Mus musculus: one gene and its partners. The protein of the gene in region 3 interacts with the protein of the main gene of each other region in a biochemical or structural test. Links are inferred from orthologs where the notes say so. Each region holds a gene or a part of one and is shown on either strand. Other genes may lie near its edges.

Region 1 (3,968 bases), on a different chromosome or scaffold from region 3:
GAGTCTACGACAGACTATGTAATAGGCCACCACATGGCCTCTGTTTTCATGGCACAAAAAAAAAAAAATACGTTTTGCAAGATGTTTTTACTTTTACTCAAGTTTTCTCCACAGAGCTGCTTTTTACCTTTATCGTTGTTTAATTTACAAATGAGTAAGGTAGAATCCTTGGACAAATTAAACTAGAATCTGTGTTTCCTCTGATGACCCAGTCCAGGGCAATCATGCGTTCAAGTGCATGCACGTCCCAGGCTCTACTGTAGGTCGTGAACTCAGACAGCTAGAGGCAGGAGGCCAGCTCCTCAGCAGGGAGTCACAGGACTCGCTATCTCGGAGAAGGAAGAGGGTGGATACTGGGCTTAGTGAAGGGCGTAAGAGCATCACACAAAGCAGGGGTGGGATGAGGAGGAGGCAGCAATCTACACTCTGTAAAGAACTTCAATCCTAGCACGTAATGGACGATTCAGAAACAAGCGTTAAAGGTGCCTCTCTGAGAGAAGCGGGTGGACTATCAAGGAACTCAGTCTTTGGGACGCATTAGAAGGCTAAAAGAGGAGGAGAGCTCTTAAAAGATTCGAGGAGATGTCAATCCAGGTGAACAAATTGGAAACTTTAAAGAGGTTCCAGAGCCCCGGTGCCCATTAGCTGGGAGGGGCCAGGGAAAATGGGAGCCTTTCATGGAGGAGTAAGTTAAAGGTGATGGGAGGTGGGCAGACAAGTTCAGGAAGGACAGCCGTTGGGGCCGTTGGACACTGGGAGCTGGCGCTCCGCCCTCTTTCCTCTCTCCCCCATAGCCCCCCTCCCGCACCTCCCACCACCATCGACGTCCCCTGCGCGTGCGCGCGCGGACACCGGTTGCCAAACATTGCATCATCCCCGCCCCCCCATCCCCTCCCTCGCCGCGCTCTCCTCCGCGCGCGCGCATGACTCACTCACCTCCTCCGCGAAGCCGCGTGACCCAAAGCCACTTCCGGGTCCGAGACAACGTAGACTCTCAAGCCAGAGGGCGCGATGGGGGTGGGGCCGTGAGACTCCTGAGTGGCGGATGTAAGGGATGAGGCGGAGCCAGTGCCAGCGTGCCGCTTTCTGATTGGTAGGCTCCTGGACCCTGCCCCCCCCCCAGGAGGGGCCGGACAGCATAAAGGATACTCGCTCTCCGCTCTTGAGGTCAGTTATCTTGAGCCTAACACGTCGATTATATCATGTTGAAGATGAGCGGGTGGCAGCGACAGAGCCAGAATAACAGCCGGAACCTGAGGAGAGAGGCGAGTACTGGCTCCGTCTAACCCTTACCTTCCCATCCTGGCCAGCATAGCTATTTTATAAAGTTGGAGACAACTGTTCTGGAGGATGTAGCCCCACCCCTTCCACTGTAAGCTTGTAGACTGGGAAGGGTGAAGGCCGGGAATCCCTGATTCAGGAATGGTGCTTACAGGCCCTCTCTTGCATTGGGCGATTGCATTCCCGTTCCCTTGTCTCGAGTTGGTCCCCACTCTGCAGAGGGACTCCGGTTGCCTTCGGGAACTTGTCTCTGTAGTGCGAACTGCGGGCCAGCTTAGGCCTGGGCAGTTCGCAGGAAAGGCGGGGCAGCAGGACACACCCCCAAAGTCGGGGACTCTGGCTGTCTCAGCCTTTTCTTCACCAGCCTCATTCCCCCCAACTCTTTCAAGCTGAAGCGCCTCAGTCAAGGGGCCAACATGGCCACGTTAGTAGCTGACTCTCAAGTTCAAGAGAACGCGAAGACTGACAGATCTTTGCGAGTGGGGGTGCTGGTGGGAGGAGCATAGATGGGTTTTTCCCTTTTCCCCAGAGGTTTCTAGGTTTCCATACAAGAGAGCAGCCTGGATCTCTTTAACTATGGGAAATTATTTGGGATCTCTCCAGGGTCTTCTGCTTCTCCCAGGGCTGATTGATCTCTGCTTCTTTCCTCAGTCCCGTCTCCTAACTAAACTGTGTAACCATTGCGTCAGGCCAGCCCACTGTTTGTCTCTGCACCCTCAGGCCTGGGGCTCCTCTGCTGATGAAAGCCAGGTCCCACACACTGGAAGACCAAGGGAGTTTTCCCTAGAGGACAACCCTGCAGAGAAACACTCAGGGCAATATTGCATCTGCAGTCCCCAGAGACAGCCAGCTCCGCTCTGCCTTTAGGCTCAGTGGGCTTAATTCTCTATAAGGGAACTTGGGGGAGGGGCTTTTTCCCCATTCATTCCTAACAAATGCCTAATAAGCACCCACTATGTACCAAGTATCTGGGGACCCAGGGTATATTAGGAGCAAAAGATAAAACTGTTCTCAATAAAACTTACATTTCAGTATAAAGCAAAAGGGAAAAAAAAAACAAAAGCAGGGCAGAATAGTTCAGGGCGGTGACTAGAGGTTGTCATCAGAAGCCAAGCCTGTGAGCCAAGCCCCGGTGTTAGAGCTTTATAGAAGGGAGAGGCTGAGCAACAGAGTTAAGATAAGCATGCCATGCCGGTATCTTTAGGAACAGGACTAGAGTAAGCAGGAGAGGGTGATGAAAGGAAACTCAAGCAGCCGGTCTCATAGAGCCTTGCAAGCACCCTCATGATGCTAATCTTTAACAATCATGAAACAGGAAGCCATTGGGGGATCTGAGCAGAGGAATGATCATAGCACATGCATTTAATTCCAGCACTCAGAGAGGCAGATCTCTGAGCTCCAGGCCAGCCAGGGCTACATTATGAGACCCTGACTCAAAATAAATACAAAAACAAAGGGTTAGGTATGTAGCTCAATAGTACACTGCTTGCCTGGTATGTAGAGGACCCTAGGTCAACCCACAGCCGTGAAAATAAAGTAAAAGACAAGAATAGAAACAGGAGGTCTCAGCTGAACATAGTGGCACAGCCTTTAATCCCAGCACTTGAAAGGCAGGCAGATCTAAATTCAAAGCCAGAGAGTCTACAAAGCAAGTTCCAGGACAGCAAAAGCTACATAGTGAGACCCTGTCTAAAAGAGAAAGAAAGGAAAGGAAAGGAAGAAAGAAAGGAGAGATTTCAAAGAGGCTTCCAAAATAATCCAGGGAAAGAAATGTATGGTAAATTTATATCTGGAGCCAGGCAGTGGTGGTGCACGCCTTTAATCCCAGCATTTGGGAGACAGAGACAGGCGGATTTCTGAATTCGAGGCCAGCCTTGTCCACAGTGAGTTCCAGGACAGCCAAGGCTACACAGAGAAACCCTGTCAAGAAAAACCAAAAAAATAAATAAATGAAAAATAAAAAATTGCATCTGGAAATAATGTAGTAATGAGAAATACTTAGGTTTGGGGTACTTTTAAAGTTGTCAGTGCTTTAGGCTGAGCTGTGGTATCTGAGAAAGGGGCATCAAGGATACCAAAGTTTTTGGCTTTCAGCACCTAGAGTTGCCATTTAGTAAGAACTATACAGCCTTGGTAGGAAAGGCCTTTCATGTAAGCTGAACGCCTGCTCAACACTGCCAAGGAGCTGGAGATCCCAGAGCAGGTCTGCACTGAGGCTGCCAGTGGGGGGATGGAATCTGAGCAAGCACTGCTGAGTTTACTCTTCCTTCCCTCTAGTTCTGTCTCCCTTTGGCGGACTTGAGGTCTATCTGGGATTTAGAGAAAACTTAGTTGGCCAGGACTTTGCTATTATGTAATCAAGACGGCAAATGTCAGCAACTAAAAATAAAGTTAAGCCTGCCTCTGTCCTTGGAGTTGGCTTCAGGGACACACACGCTGCAAGACACACGCCTGTGTGTGTGTGTGTATTACAAGAGAAGAAATGGCTTCAGGGACACACCCGCTGCAAGACACACACACCTCTGTATGTGTGTGTGTGTATTACAAGAGAAGAACTGGAGCCTGGTCTGCAGAGTTGTTGAGTTCCAGAATTCCAGGATGCCCAGGGATGCACAAAGAAACCATCTCACAACCCATTTTAGAAAGGATCTAGAAAAGGGCTAGGAGGAGTTAGAAAGGATCTAGAG
Region 2 (4,118 bases), on a different chromosome or scaffold from region 3:
CTGCTCAGGATAGGACATAGCCAGGATAGAGACTGGAGACCCAATTTTGTCATGATGTGTGGCCAAGGAGAACGGGTCTGAGCGGATGCCATCCTATGCTGTGTGGCTAGGCAGGGCACCCACCCAGTCACCTGAATTGCCTTAGTCCCCTCTCTATCAGACTGGTCTAGAATGAGCCAATCTTGTCACCTCTTGTTCCCACATGCTTGTTCCCAGATTCAAATGGGAAGAAGATGTGGAACAACAGAGGCACAGAGATAGGTAATGGCTTCACTTCAAAAGTAAACTCTAAGCCAGGCGTGGTGGCGCATGCCTTTAATCCCAGCACTTGGGAGGCAGAGGCAGGCGGATTTCTGAGTTCAAGGCCAGCCTGGTCTACAAAGTGAGTTCCCGGACAGCCAAGGCTACACAGAGAAACCCTGTCTGGAAAAAACAAATAAACAAACAAAAAAAGTAAACTCTAGACTTCTCAGAGCACTGTGGTAGGAGGGGCTCTGGGGTGATATCCACACACCCAGAGGAAACTAATTAGTAACTATCTATCAGGGGGCTGAAAGAGGGTAGCGTTAGCTTGGGCCATGTACCTGCCATCCCCAGACTAGCACATACTAGCAAGTAGCTTCTGGGCCATGGGCAAATCTGCCAGGTAGACACCCAGATCCCAGAAGGCCCATGGAGGGAGAGGAGGGACCAATCCAGGAAGCCTTCCTGGAAAAAAGGGGACAACAGCAAGGACATGAATTTGGGGTAAAATCCCAGGAGGCCAGACTGAGCCTTACTTGGGGAAGTGAGTGAGGATGAGGGTCCTCTTCTCAGGCACCAGTTTGTCCTTTTCCACCCGAAATTTTTCCAGTAGCTGCCGGCGGGTGACAGTGAAAATGGACCGTAGAAGGCTTCGGCCAAACACGTGGGTGGTCTCGTAGCGGGGGAGGCTGTCGCAGCTCTGGGGCACGTGGCAGTAACAGAGCCATCTGGGGGAGGTGGAGCGGCAGGTGAGGGTGGAGACCGCCAGACTGGCTGTTCAAGCCTCCCCTGTAAGGCCCTGTCTGGGCTTACCTGGTATAATTGACTTTGTAGGTAGCGACATCCTCAGACTGGGACCGCTGCCGGAATTGAGCAGGGGTCTCCAGCTTCCAGTAGTTAAGGCAGAGCAGGAACATCTTTGAGAGCTCAAACATTGTCTGGCGCTCTCGGGGGGCCAGGTGGCTAAATTTGTACTGCACAAAGTTCAGTACACCCTGAGGAGTAAGGAGGGGACAAAATCAGGAGGAGGTGTGGACAGCCAACAGAGGCATGTCAAATAGGAGGGATTCTGTGAAGAGAACCTCTGACCCTTCCAACTTCCACACCCACTCTGAGGTCAGCAAACACCATGTCCCTTCCTTGAACCTCTCCCCTGTTCTCAGCTTGAGGAAATAAACCAGACTCTCCACCCTCTTAAGTCGCCTTTAATCTTGCTACATGCCCGCCCTACCTGTTCAATGTTAGGCTTCTCAAATGGGGGGCTGCCTAGAGACCCCTCCACCACTGGCCGTGTCATCTGCAGAATGCACTTCCGCAAGAGCTGTAAGGAAGAGGGATGGGCAGAAACAGGAGTAGCAGAGCTCAGAGAGCAGGATCCCCAACACACACCAAAGCTTCACCATCTTTACTCCATGAGAACTCACCTTGAAGAGGTAGAAATAGACTTGTTTGGTGTCTGTGTCCTCTTCCTTGTGAACAGACATGAACAGATTTTCTACATCTACTACCATTCCCAAGAGCCGGTTAATCTCGTCCTCTGACACATTCTCCAGGTGGGACACATGGTCCGCTGCAAGATGGTTACATTAGGGCTGGGAAGAACAGAAGAGCTCCACGGGGCTTGATTCCTGTACCTCCTCTAACTAGCCAGTGACACACCCTTGATTCTCCAATTCTTGACAGACAGGGAGACCCAGTGTTCTCAGTTCTCCCATCAGCCCTTGGTAGCTACCTGCTACCAAGGCAGATCTCCTTTTTTCCTTCCATGGGACATTCACATTTATTCCCTACCCAATATTTCCTTAGAAGGTCTCCAAGAAGCTCTGTGGTACTTATGTCACCCTGTTCAAACAGGACCTGGCTCCTGCCCTCCGCCCCAGCTCCAAAGGTGGTGCCTGCCTTACCCAAAGGGTGCTCACAGCTACGGCACAACTCGCTCAGGTTGGCAGCTGGCTGCTGGAGGTCCATGCGGGGTGCGGTGGGGGGCTTGGGGTTTTTCCAGCCATTACACTTGCAGGTTTCATTGGCCTGGAGGGGGAAGGTTCAGTTCCCTGATGCTGTCTGCATCCCAAGCGCAAGAGCGGCTCTATGGCTAGAGCTTCGCCCCCCATTCCTACCCCAGACCTTGGATGCCCCAAGCCCCGCCCCTTTTGCTCTAGGCCCCGCCCCCACCTTGCAAGCTGAGAAGACCCCTAGTTTCTCAAGCTTCTTGGCACGCGGCAGACCCCGGACTTGCGCCTTCCTCTGGCTAGCGCGCTGCTGCTGGCTCAGGCCAGGTCGAGCCGGATCCCCCCCACTTCCTACCCCGGCGCCCCCACTCCCTGTGCTCCCAGCTGGGGCTGCAGCTGGGGCAGGGGCTGGTGCCGGAGTCGGAGCCGGAGTGGAGGCTGAAGCCGGACTGGGCGCAGGAGTCGAAGTTGGGGCAGGGGCTGGGGAGTGAAGGGGCCGGGGCTGCGCTGCCGGGACCGGGTTTGGGGCCTGGGAAGGTTCCGCCATGGCCTCCCCCGCAGCGGAGCGGCGCCGCGCTCCCAGCCCTAGGGCCGCATGGGCAACCGGCGCACAGTGCGCAGGCGTCACGGCCCCGGCGCACGATGGGAGTCGTAGTCTTCCTTTGCCGCTTCCCATCCTTTGGCCTTCCATACTTTTTTTTTTCTTGGTTCCAGACAACCAAATGTCGCTTGGTTGAGCATCCTAGATTTGACCATTACTTCATTCTAATCTTTTTTAAGCCATCCGAGATAGTGACAATTACTATCCTCTTGGGAACAAGAGGCACCCCAGAACACTGGCCGTCTGGAGGATTTGTGGATGCTGCCCTTTTAAAGTCCATAGGTGGAAGAACAGGCCTGGGCCTGAGGTTGGCTCCCACATTGCAAAAGCCTGCCCTATTGTGGCTGCCGGCTAAGGCTTGCAGCTACAATAGAGATAAAATGTAACATTAATTCTACTATTTGTACTGTGGTGTTCACACTTATGAATTAACTTTGACAATCAGTTTTTGGGTTTTGTTTTGTTTTGTTTTATTTTGTTTTTTGAGACAGGGTTTCTCTGTGAAGCCCTGGCTGTCCTGGAACTCATTCTGTAGACCAGGCTGACCTCGAACTCAGAAATCCGCCTGGCTCTGCTTCCCAAGTGCTGGGATTAAAGGCATGCGCCATCACTGCCCAGTGACAATCAGCTTTTTCTATACTTGGGTTGCTGTTAAACAGAAACGGTTTTATTTTCAAAAGAACAAAGAGACATAGTTGTGGGCCATGCTGCTGTTGAATGTGTGTGTTCATGCACGGGCATTCGTGTGTGTGTGTGTGTGTGTGTGTTGGGAGTGGGCAGGAAAGGGGGGGGGGAGTGTGTTTGTGTGTGCTGAGAACTAAAGAACCAGAGAGACCAACACTGAAGATGCGGAGGGTAGGGGGTGGTCCCCTCTTCTGGCTCGCCTAGGCAGCTTTGAAGATGGAGAGGATTCCTGACCTCATACCCTTCCATCCTACCTCCATCTTTTTCCCTGCCCACTCCTTAATGGGGGGGTGGGGGTGGAGGAAAGCCAGAGAAATAGACAGTTTCTTCCCATTGTAGAGGTAGACTGTGAAAGGTCAGGGATAGTTCTTCCTGGAAGATCAGAAAGGCCCCCTCTTTTGGCTCAGTCCAGAGAACAATTTTCCTTGCCCCAGGCCCGATTCTTAAAAGGGCAGGGTAGGGCAGGGCCGGCAGGGCAGGGCAGGGCAGAGCAAGCCAGACCTTTTCAACCCCGTTGCTCAATCCCATCAGCTCCCAGGATGGAGCTGTAACCCCGCACATTCAGGTGATCCAGTTCCTTCATAGCCTCCTTCCTGCCCTCTGATGTGAGAGAAGGGCCCAGGGAGAAGCAGAAGCCGGTT
Region 3 (3,207 bases):
CTGGGAAGGCCAGAAAGCCGCAGGCAGGCAGGGCTAGCGTCTTACCCTTTCCCTCCCTGCCCCCCACCCCCAAGGGCACAGGGAGATGTCATTTCTCCAGCTCTTGGGGGCGGAGGTCACCCCAGCTCAGCAGATAACACCGAAGGTTGAGCAACACCCCGCCAGCTTGCCGGGGCCAGGGCTGGGGTCAATGGGTCGGGGGTCAGCCCCTGACAGGTTGGCAGCTCCTGCTTGAGTGGCCCACCTAGGAGTGGCAGAAGGGTGGGCCCCAAGAGTTGCCCTGGGCGTCCTCAAAAGGGTCTCACCGGAGAGAGGCTGGTGATCCCAGCCCATTCAAGTGCACGGGGTGGAGGGGTTGCCTCCCCAGCTTGCAGGGTGACCGCTGGGTCCTTATGGCTGGAGTGGGGTCTACCATGCTCCCACCGCAATCACCTGAGAAGCCTCTGGGCAGGGCTGTGCAGGTCTTAGGAAGGCATCGTACTTCTCGGGGGTCCGTTTGTCTCTGATGACACCACTACTAACAATACCAACACTGTCCACGGAGGGAACTCAGAAGCAAAGTGACTCACCCAGACACAGTGTGGCAGAACCCCCAGCCCTGCCACCTTCATGGAGAGGCGCAGGGAGTGGCGTAGGCAGGTGCGGTAGGCGGGCCATACATAGGGTGGAGGGCTGGGATCCAGGACAGCGAGCATCCCCGGGGTGGGCGTGCACCTGGAGAGTTCTGCTTCCCAGGAGTTGGGGGGGGGGTCCCAGAGGTGTGGGCAGCACCTGGGTGGGAGGACATGCACCCCGTGGAAGGCTGCTTCCAGGGAATTGGGGCCCGGGGACAGCGGGCAGGATCCGAGGGTTGGGGTCGTGTAGCTGGAGGAACGATCTGTTTCCCAAGAGTTGGGGGTCCGGGACAGCGGACCGGAGCCGGGACGAGCCACCGCGTCCTCCAGCAGGGGGCGGGCGGCGGCCGCGCTCCTCCGTGTTCCCGAGGGGCGGGAAGGGGGCGGGCTGGCGTCACCCGCGTCCGTGGCCATCGCGGGGCTGGCGGGACGCCCGGGTCACCGCTCAGCCTCCCGCGCGAGGACCCCCGCCGCGCCCCACTCCCCGCCGCGCCCTCTCGCGCTCCCGTGGCCGGGCAATGACGCGCACCGACCGGGTGGCGGGGCGGCGGGAGGGGCCCCAGCGTGACGCAGCCCGTTGCCAGGCGCCGCCTTATAAACCTCCCGCTCGGCCGCCGCCGCGCCGAGTCCGAGCCGCGCACGGGACCGGGACGCAGCGGAGCCCGCGGGCCCCGCGTTCATGCACCGCCTGCTGGCCTGGGACGCAGCATGCCTCCCGCCGCCGCCCGCCGCCTTTAGACCCATGGAAGTGGCCAACTTCTACTACGAGCCCGACTGCCTGGCCTACGGGGCCAAGGCGGCCCGCGCCGCGCCGCGCGCCCCCGCCGCCGAGCCGGCCATTGGCGAGCACGAGCGCGCCATCGACTTCAGCCCCTACCTGGAGCCGCTCGCGCCCGCCGCGGACTTCGCCGCGCCCGCGCCCGCGCACCACGACTTCCTCTCCGACCTCTTCGCCGACGACTACGGCGCCAAGCCGAGCAAGAAGCCGGCCGACTACGGTTACGTGAGCCTCGGCCGCGCGGGCGCCAAGGCCGCGCCGCCCGCCTGCTTCCCGCCGCCGCCTCCCGCCGCGCTCAAGGCGGAGCCGGGCTTCGAACCCGCGGACTGCAAGCGCGCGGACGACGCGCCCGCCATGGCGGCCGGTTTCCCGTTCGCCCTGCGCGCCTACCTGGGCTACCAGGCGACGCCGAGCGGCAGCAGCGGCAGCCTGTCCACGTCGTCGTCGTCCAGCCCGCCCGGCACGCCGAGCCCCGCCGACGCCAAGGCCGCGCCCGCCGCCTGCTTCGCGGGGCCGCCGGCCGCGCCCGCCAAGGCCAAGGCCAAGAAGACGGTGGACAAGCTGAGCGACGAGTACAAGATGCGGCGCGAGCGCAACAACATCGCGGTGCGCAAGAGCCGCGACAAGGCCAAGATGCGCAACCTGGAGACGCAGCACAAGGTGCTGGAGCTGACGGCGGAGAACGAGCGGCTGCAGAAGAAGGTGGAGCAGCTGTCGCGAGAGCTCAGCACCCTGCGGAACTTGTTCAAGCAGCTGCCCGAGCCGCTGCTGGCCTCGGCGGGCCACTGCTAGCGCGGCGCGGGTGGCGTGGGGGGCGCCGCGGCCACCCTGGGCACCGTGCGCCCTGCCCCGCGCGCTCCGGCCCCGCGCGCGCGCCCGGACCACCGTGCGTGCCCTGCGCGCACCTGCACCTGCACCGAGGGGACACCGCGGGCACACCGCGGGCACCGCGCGCACGCACCTGCACAGCGCACCGGGTTTCGGGACTTGATGCAATCCGGATCAAACGTGGCTGAGCGCGTGTGGACACGGGACTGACGCAACACACGTGTAACTGTCAGCCGGGCCCTGAGTAATCACTTAAAGATGTTCCTGCGGGGTTGTTGATGTTTTTGGTTTTGTTTTTGTTTTTTGTTTTGTTTTGTTTTTTTTTTTGGTCTTATTATTTTTTTTGTATTATATAAAAAAGTTCTATTTCTATGAGAAAAGAGGCGTATGTATATTTTGAGAACCTTTTCCGTTTCGAGCATTAAAGTGAAGACATTTTAATAAACTTTTTTGGAGAATGTTTAAAAGCCTTTTGGGGGCAGTAGTTGGCTTTTGAAAAAAAATTTTTTTTCTTCCCTCCCGACTTTGGATTTATGCGAGATTTTGTTTTTGTGTTTCTGGTGTGTAGGGGGCTGCGGGTTATTTTTGGGTTGTGTGTGGCGGTGGGTGGGGGTGTCGCATCTGGGCTTTTCTCTTCCCATGGCAGATGGGGTGTCAGCCCCTCCCCCCAGGAGAGGGGGCAGAGTGCCAGGTCAGGAATTCAGGGTGACTCAGCACCCACGGGTGCTGGGGGACTTGCTAGAAACCCTGCTTGGGACGGGCCGCCCTCGGCTTGGTTTGAGTGTCAGACTTGTGTTGAGAGGACTAGACATTCTGTAGGAAAGGCTAGTCCAGACAGCTGGGTCAGGGCAGGTGAGTTCTGTGTGTTTGGTGGTGTGGGGGAGACCGCACGCCTGTTTGGTGTCTGTGTCCCTGTGTAGCTGGAAGAGAGATTGGGCCGAGAGGAAGGTGAAGGGAACACTTCCTACTCTGCTTTCCCTTTCTCAC
Region 4 (4,172 bases), on a different chromosome or scaffold from region 3:
AGCTATTACAAGATGCTTATAAAGAGACACTCATTCTGGGTGAATCAAAAATGAAAAGAAAAACAAAAACCTAGGCATCAACTAGATGGGGGACAAAATAGAACTGAAGTAGGTAATATTTCATCAAAAACAAAAAAGAAAAAAAAAAGGATTGTGCTCTCATCTAGAGATCAAATTTTAAAGAAGCCCAAATATGCACTTTAGATTTAACCAACTCTGCAGACTCTGCAGGGTTAACTGCCCTGGTACAGGCCCCAGCTATGCACAGCTCAATTAGAATAGTGTGTGCCAATGTTACTATAACTCTGGCTCAGTTAGAAAAATAAAAAAACAGGTTCTAACGGGGGGGGGGGGGGGGGGGGATCCTGCATAAAGTATTTTACTATTCCACCATTAATACGGCCCCTCCCCCGTGTGTGTGAAGCAGAGAATCCAGAGACAAAACTCACCAACAGAAACACTTGAATTAACATGTAGCATACATGAAAATGACCTTAAAGAAAGAGCAAGATCTGTACAACTCATATAATCAGAACTATTTCAAGAGCAAAACCATCAGGGAAGTTCAGGTCCATATAAAACACACGCCAAATCACTGCACTGACTTGTTTAGCACAAATTTTCCTTAATTCTGTAAACACAATTTTAATTCTTCCCAACTTAAGATTTACAGTGGAAGCATTTAGTCCAAAAGTGTCAACTACATCTTCAAAAACAAAAATATGTAATACCCCTTTAATGCATACTCACTCAAAAGCCTAGAAAGCAAAAAAAAAAAAAAAAAAAAAAAAGCCACCTGTCTTAAGACAGTGACAAAAAACTAAAAACCTTTATGTCAATTCTCTTTGGAAAGGATTTGTTTTAATTCCGGCAATTGAAGCCTACATAATTCATCACATCAGAAGCTGCTTCAGGCTATGGGTATTAGTCTGCCTCGGTGCATGTTTGTAACCAGGTCACTGAAGAAAACACACTCCTGAGCCTATGAGCACCGTGTCGCAATTTTGTATCCCAGCTCCGGAGAAGCTGAGAGACACGGATGGTCAGGAGTTGAAGAGAGGAGCAGGAAGCCCTAGAGACTCATGACAGTACACTGAACAAAGCATTAGGGAGAAACTGTATTTTAAGAAATATTAAAGCAATCATTTACACTCTGAAATAACACGTACTAATCCTACCAGATAGATCCAAGAGATAGAGTCTACAGTAGGGAGAAGTTTACTTCTCTGAATAGCCTATGCTACATACATTTCAACTGCAAGCGCTTCATATCCTGAATGCAAGGTAAACCTGTAAAATCTGTAACAAAAACTATTCAAATGCGGTGCTTGAAATCTAATTGCTTTGTGGAATTTATAATAGATTTCTGTACATTCAGTTAAGATTCCACACGGTTTGTGTCAGCAGAAAGTCCTGAACCTGATTCTTAAAACGTTCAAAGTCTCAAGCTACTACTGAGAGGAAAAGGATGCTAAATCTGGCAAAATTCAACGATTGTTAAAAAATTAAGCGAGATTACAAGCCTGCAGAACACGAATTCAAGGTACTTAAAATAACTCCCTCTTTATCTCGTTACTTTATTTCTAAGTAAGTGACAATCCCACCTTAAGTTATCAGAAACTGAAGGCACTGATAAATTCTAAAATGAATTACCTGAAAACCAACTTTAAAAATTAAGTTTACTCCAGGTTTTGTGGGGTGGGGCAGTGGGGAGGAGCTATCAATAAACAGGGCTTTTTAAAACCTCTGGCAAAGGAACCTTTCAAGTTAACTAAACACGCCCTTGTCTTTGAAAATCTGGCTTGAGAAATCATAACAGCAGTTTGGGGTGCTGAAGCCAACGCCCTCCACCCTCCACCAATTTCACGCTCCGTGCATGTAGCCCTAACAATAAAATAAACTACGCCTTTTATTAGGAGACACGTTTTATTAGGGGAGGGTGGTTCAGTTTGGCGCTAAGAGTGTCTCCCGCACGCCGCCATCACCCACAATACCCAAAAAGTAAACAAATCAAAGCTACAAACGTAAACTCAGAGCACACAACCAGGAAGAGAAAGTGGGGACAAAGAGAAAACAAACACTTGCTGGGGGGTGGGGGAGGTGGGGAAGGCACGAGGACCCGACCCGGGGCACCCCGGGCATAACGCACTCGGGCCGGGCCGACGCGACGGCCCGGGCCGCGGCCAAACTCCTCCCGAACAACAAAGAGCGGCGGCACGGACGGGGACCGGCGACCGAGTTCCCGGGACGGCGGGCTCGCCTAACTGCGAGAGGAGTTGGGGCCCGGGAGCCACGCGCGGGCACGCGAAGCCCCGGACGCGCGGGGGCGACCCACCCGAGCCCCGCTGGGCCCACGCTCGCGCCGGTCGCCGCGGGAGCCCGCCCCGGGGCGGGGAAGCGCGGGCGCCGAGGCCCCGGTTAGGGGAGGACCGCGCGTTACCTGGGCTCCGCGCCGCACCGCGCCTCGCCTCGCTGTCGCTTCCCGGGCCCCGCCCGCGGCGTCCGGCCCAGGCGGCCCCCTCTCCCCGCCGCGCCGCGGACCGCGCCGGCCGGCCGGGCCGCTGGAGCTCCGGAGCCGCCCCGCTGCGGGGGGCCTCGCTCGCGGGCGCCGGCTCCGGTCACGCGCTCCCGCCCCGGGGACGGCCGCGGAGCGGAGCGCGGCGCGGGAAGGGCCTCCGGAGGACGGCGGGCGGGCGGGCGGACGGACGCGAACACGGGCTCCGCCACCCGAGCCGCTCCGTTACCGCAGCGGCGACGACGACCAGGGCCGTGTTGTTGCTGCCAACTTGTCGGAAGGACACTGAGCATGCGCGCGCGGAGACCACATCCGGGTAATTTCAGGGTTTGGCCCTTCCCTCCCCCGCTCCCCTCCCGCAGCGCTCCTTTCTCCCCGCTGCCCCCGCCTCCCGCCCAGAGCAGGGAGGGTCCCAGTGCGCAGGCGCCCGCGGGCAGCCCGGCGGCTCTGGCTGAGTTTGAGCAGCGAGCGAGCAACGGCGCCGGAGGGGAGTCGCCTTTTCGCAGGATGCCCTCTTCAGACACGGAGTGCGGTTCACAGAGTACCCAAGCAGCGTGGGACAGCTCGGGATGAGCGATGGGCAGGCCCGCCGGGTTGGGTTGGCTTTTGAAGACCTTGGTGGACACAGCTGGACCGAGTGCGGGTGTTTGTAGCAGTTTACTTCCGAGCGGATCTCTCACTCTGTCCCTTTCATCACACCGGCTCCAAAAGGTTGAGCTCGGAGGCGCGCGCGACAGTCAAGGAGTCACATTCCAGGGCCTAGCCCGAGGTGGCCAAACGTGAGCAGTTGGGAAAGAGGCGGGAATTTCGAGTTGGAGGCGACCTTCAAGACTTGCTTAAGTGTACACCTGCTAAATAGGTTGTGCAGGCTGGGATGTAAAGAAAGCTCAGTTTCAGAACTTCACACCTTACAAAACAAGTCAAAACTACCTCTCATTACTTAAGTGGTCCGCTATCTAAAACTTTCAGGGCAACGTAAAGGGACAGTTCAAAATTTGTTGTCCATATACAAAGCCCTGGGTCCATCCCACCACAAAAGTGGTGCATTTGGTGGCAAAAGGCCCGTCTTTGATTTTGACTTTGTACTTACTTTCTTGTATAATTTTATGAATATTGTACTTAGTAGCTAGAACACAAGCCTGCCGTATAGTCCCTGGCTTTAAATCACAGCCCATGCATGTAAATCTTAGCCCTTGGGAAGCAGAGACAGAAGGAGCTCCAGCCTGGTGGATTTACGTGGCAAATTTCAAACCAGGACTAAATAGACAGACCCTAACTTTAAATTTATTCAGACGTCTAGGAAACATGAATTATATGTTGTCTTTTTGTTTCCTTTTTCACCTTCCCTCGGGGTTCCTTCTAGTACAGCTGTTAGACCAAGTCATTTCTTAAGTCTGTTGGAGAAACTTTACAACACACACCAATGTGTAACACTGCCCCCCCAGGGTAAGCCAAAGGGACAATTCAAAAGTTGATGTCTGCAATGAGAAAATAAATCACTTAAATGAATCGATAGTAGAATTTCCTTCACAAATCCAATTCTTCATTGTCATCAAAATTGATAGGTGCAGTACAAATTGAGTTATATATAAAAAGAGAGAGAGAGAGAGATATGAAGTTAGGAAAAGGATATTCCAGTGGGGGAGTCCAGGAGCTG

Evidence for each region. The genes of interacting proteins can lie anywhere in the genome.
Region 1: the proteins of Cebpb (region 3) and Ddit3 form a complex in vitro, tested with the Homo sapiens proteins (2 studies listed by BioGRID and IntAct, with this or other methods). The link is inferred for Mus musculus from reciprocal best matches to the Homo sapiens genes CEBPB and DDIT3.
Region 2: the proteins of Cebpb (region 3) and Kat2a form a complex in vitro, tested with the Homo sapiens proteins (2 studies listed by BioGRID, with this or other methods). The link is inferred for Mus musculus from reciprocal best matches to the Homo sapiens genes CEBPB and KAT2A.
Region 4: the proteins of Cebpb (region 3) and Smad4 form a complex in vitro, tested with the Homo sapiens proteins (2 studies listed by BioGRID and IntAct). The link is inferred for Mus musculus from reciprocal best matches to the Homo sapiens genes CEBPB and SMAD4.

The regions. Positions count from the first base shown.
Region 1 is NC_000076.6:127,289,627-127,293,594, forward strand, and holds the start of Ddit3 (DNA damage-inducible transcript 3 protein), read left to right. Parts: upstream 1-1,166; 5' UTR 1,167-1,265; exon of another isoform or gene 1,266-1,372; intron 1,373-3,968. UniProt on the Homo sapiens protein: Multifunctional transcription factor in endoplasmic reticulum (ER) stress response. Plays an essential role in the response to a wide variety of cell stresses and induces cell cycle arrest and apoptosis in response to ER stress.
Region 2 is NC_000077.6:100,709,666-100,713,783, forward strand, and holds the start of Kat2a (histone acetyltransferase KAT2A), read right to left. Parts: upstream 2,803-4,118; 5' UTR 2,740-2,802; coding exon 2,416-2,739; intron 2,272-2,415; coding exon 2,148-2,271; intron 1,814-2,147; coding exon 1,668-1,813; intron 1,565-1,667; coding exon 1,475-1,564; intron 1,239-1,474; coding exon 1,057-1,238; intron 972-1,056; coding exon 780-971; exon of another isoform or gene 585-779; intron 1-584. UniProt on the Homo sapiens protein: Protein lysine acyltransferase that can act as a acetyltransferase, glutaryltransferase, succinyltransferase or malonyltransferase, depending on the context.
Region 3 is NC_000068.7:167,687,729-167,690,935, forward strand, and holds Cebpb (CCAAT/enhancer-binding protein beta), read left to right. Parts: upstream 1-1,186; 5' UTR 1,187-1,293; coding exon 1,294-2,184; 3' UTR 2,185-2,704; downstream 2,705-3,207. UniProt on the Homo sapiens protein: Important transcription factor regulating the expression of genes involved in immune and inflammatory responses. Also plays a significant role in adipogenesis, as well as in the gluconeogenic pathway, liver regeneration, and hematopoiesis.
Region 4 is NC_000084.6:73,700,990-73,705,161, forward strand, and holds the start of Smad4 (mothers against decapentaplegic homolog 4), read right to left. Parts: upstream 2,803-4,172; 5' UTR 2,441-2,802; intron 1-2,440. UniProt on the Homo sapiens protein: In muscle physiology, plays a central role in the balance between atrophy and hypertrophy. When recruited by MSTN, promotes atrophy response via phosphorylated SMAD2/4.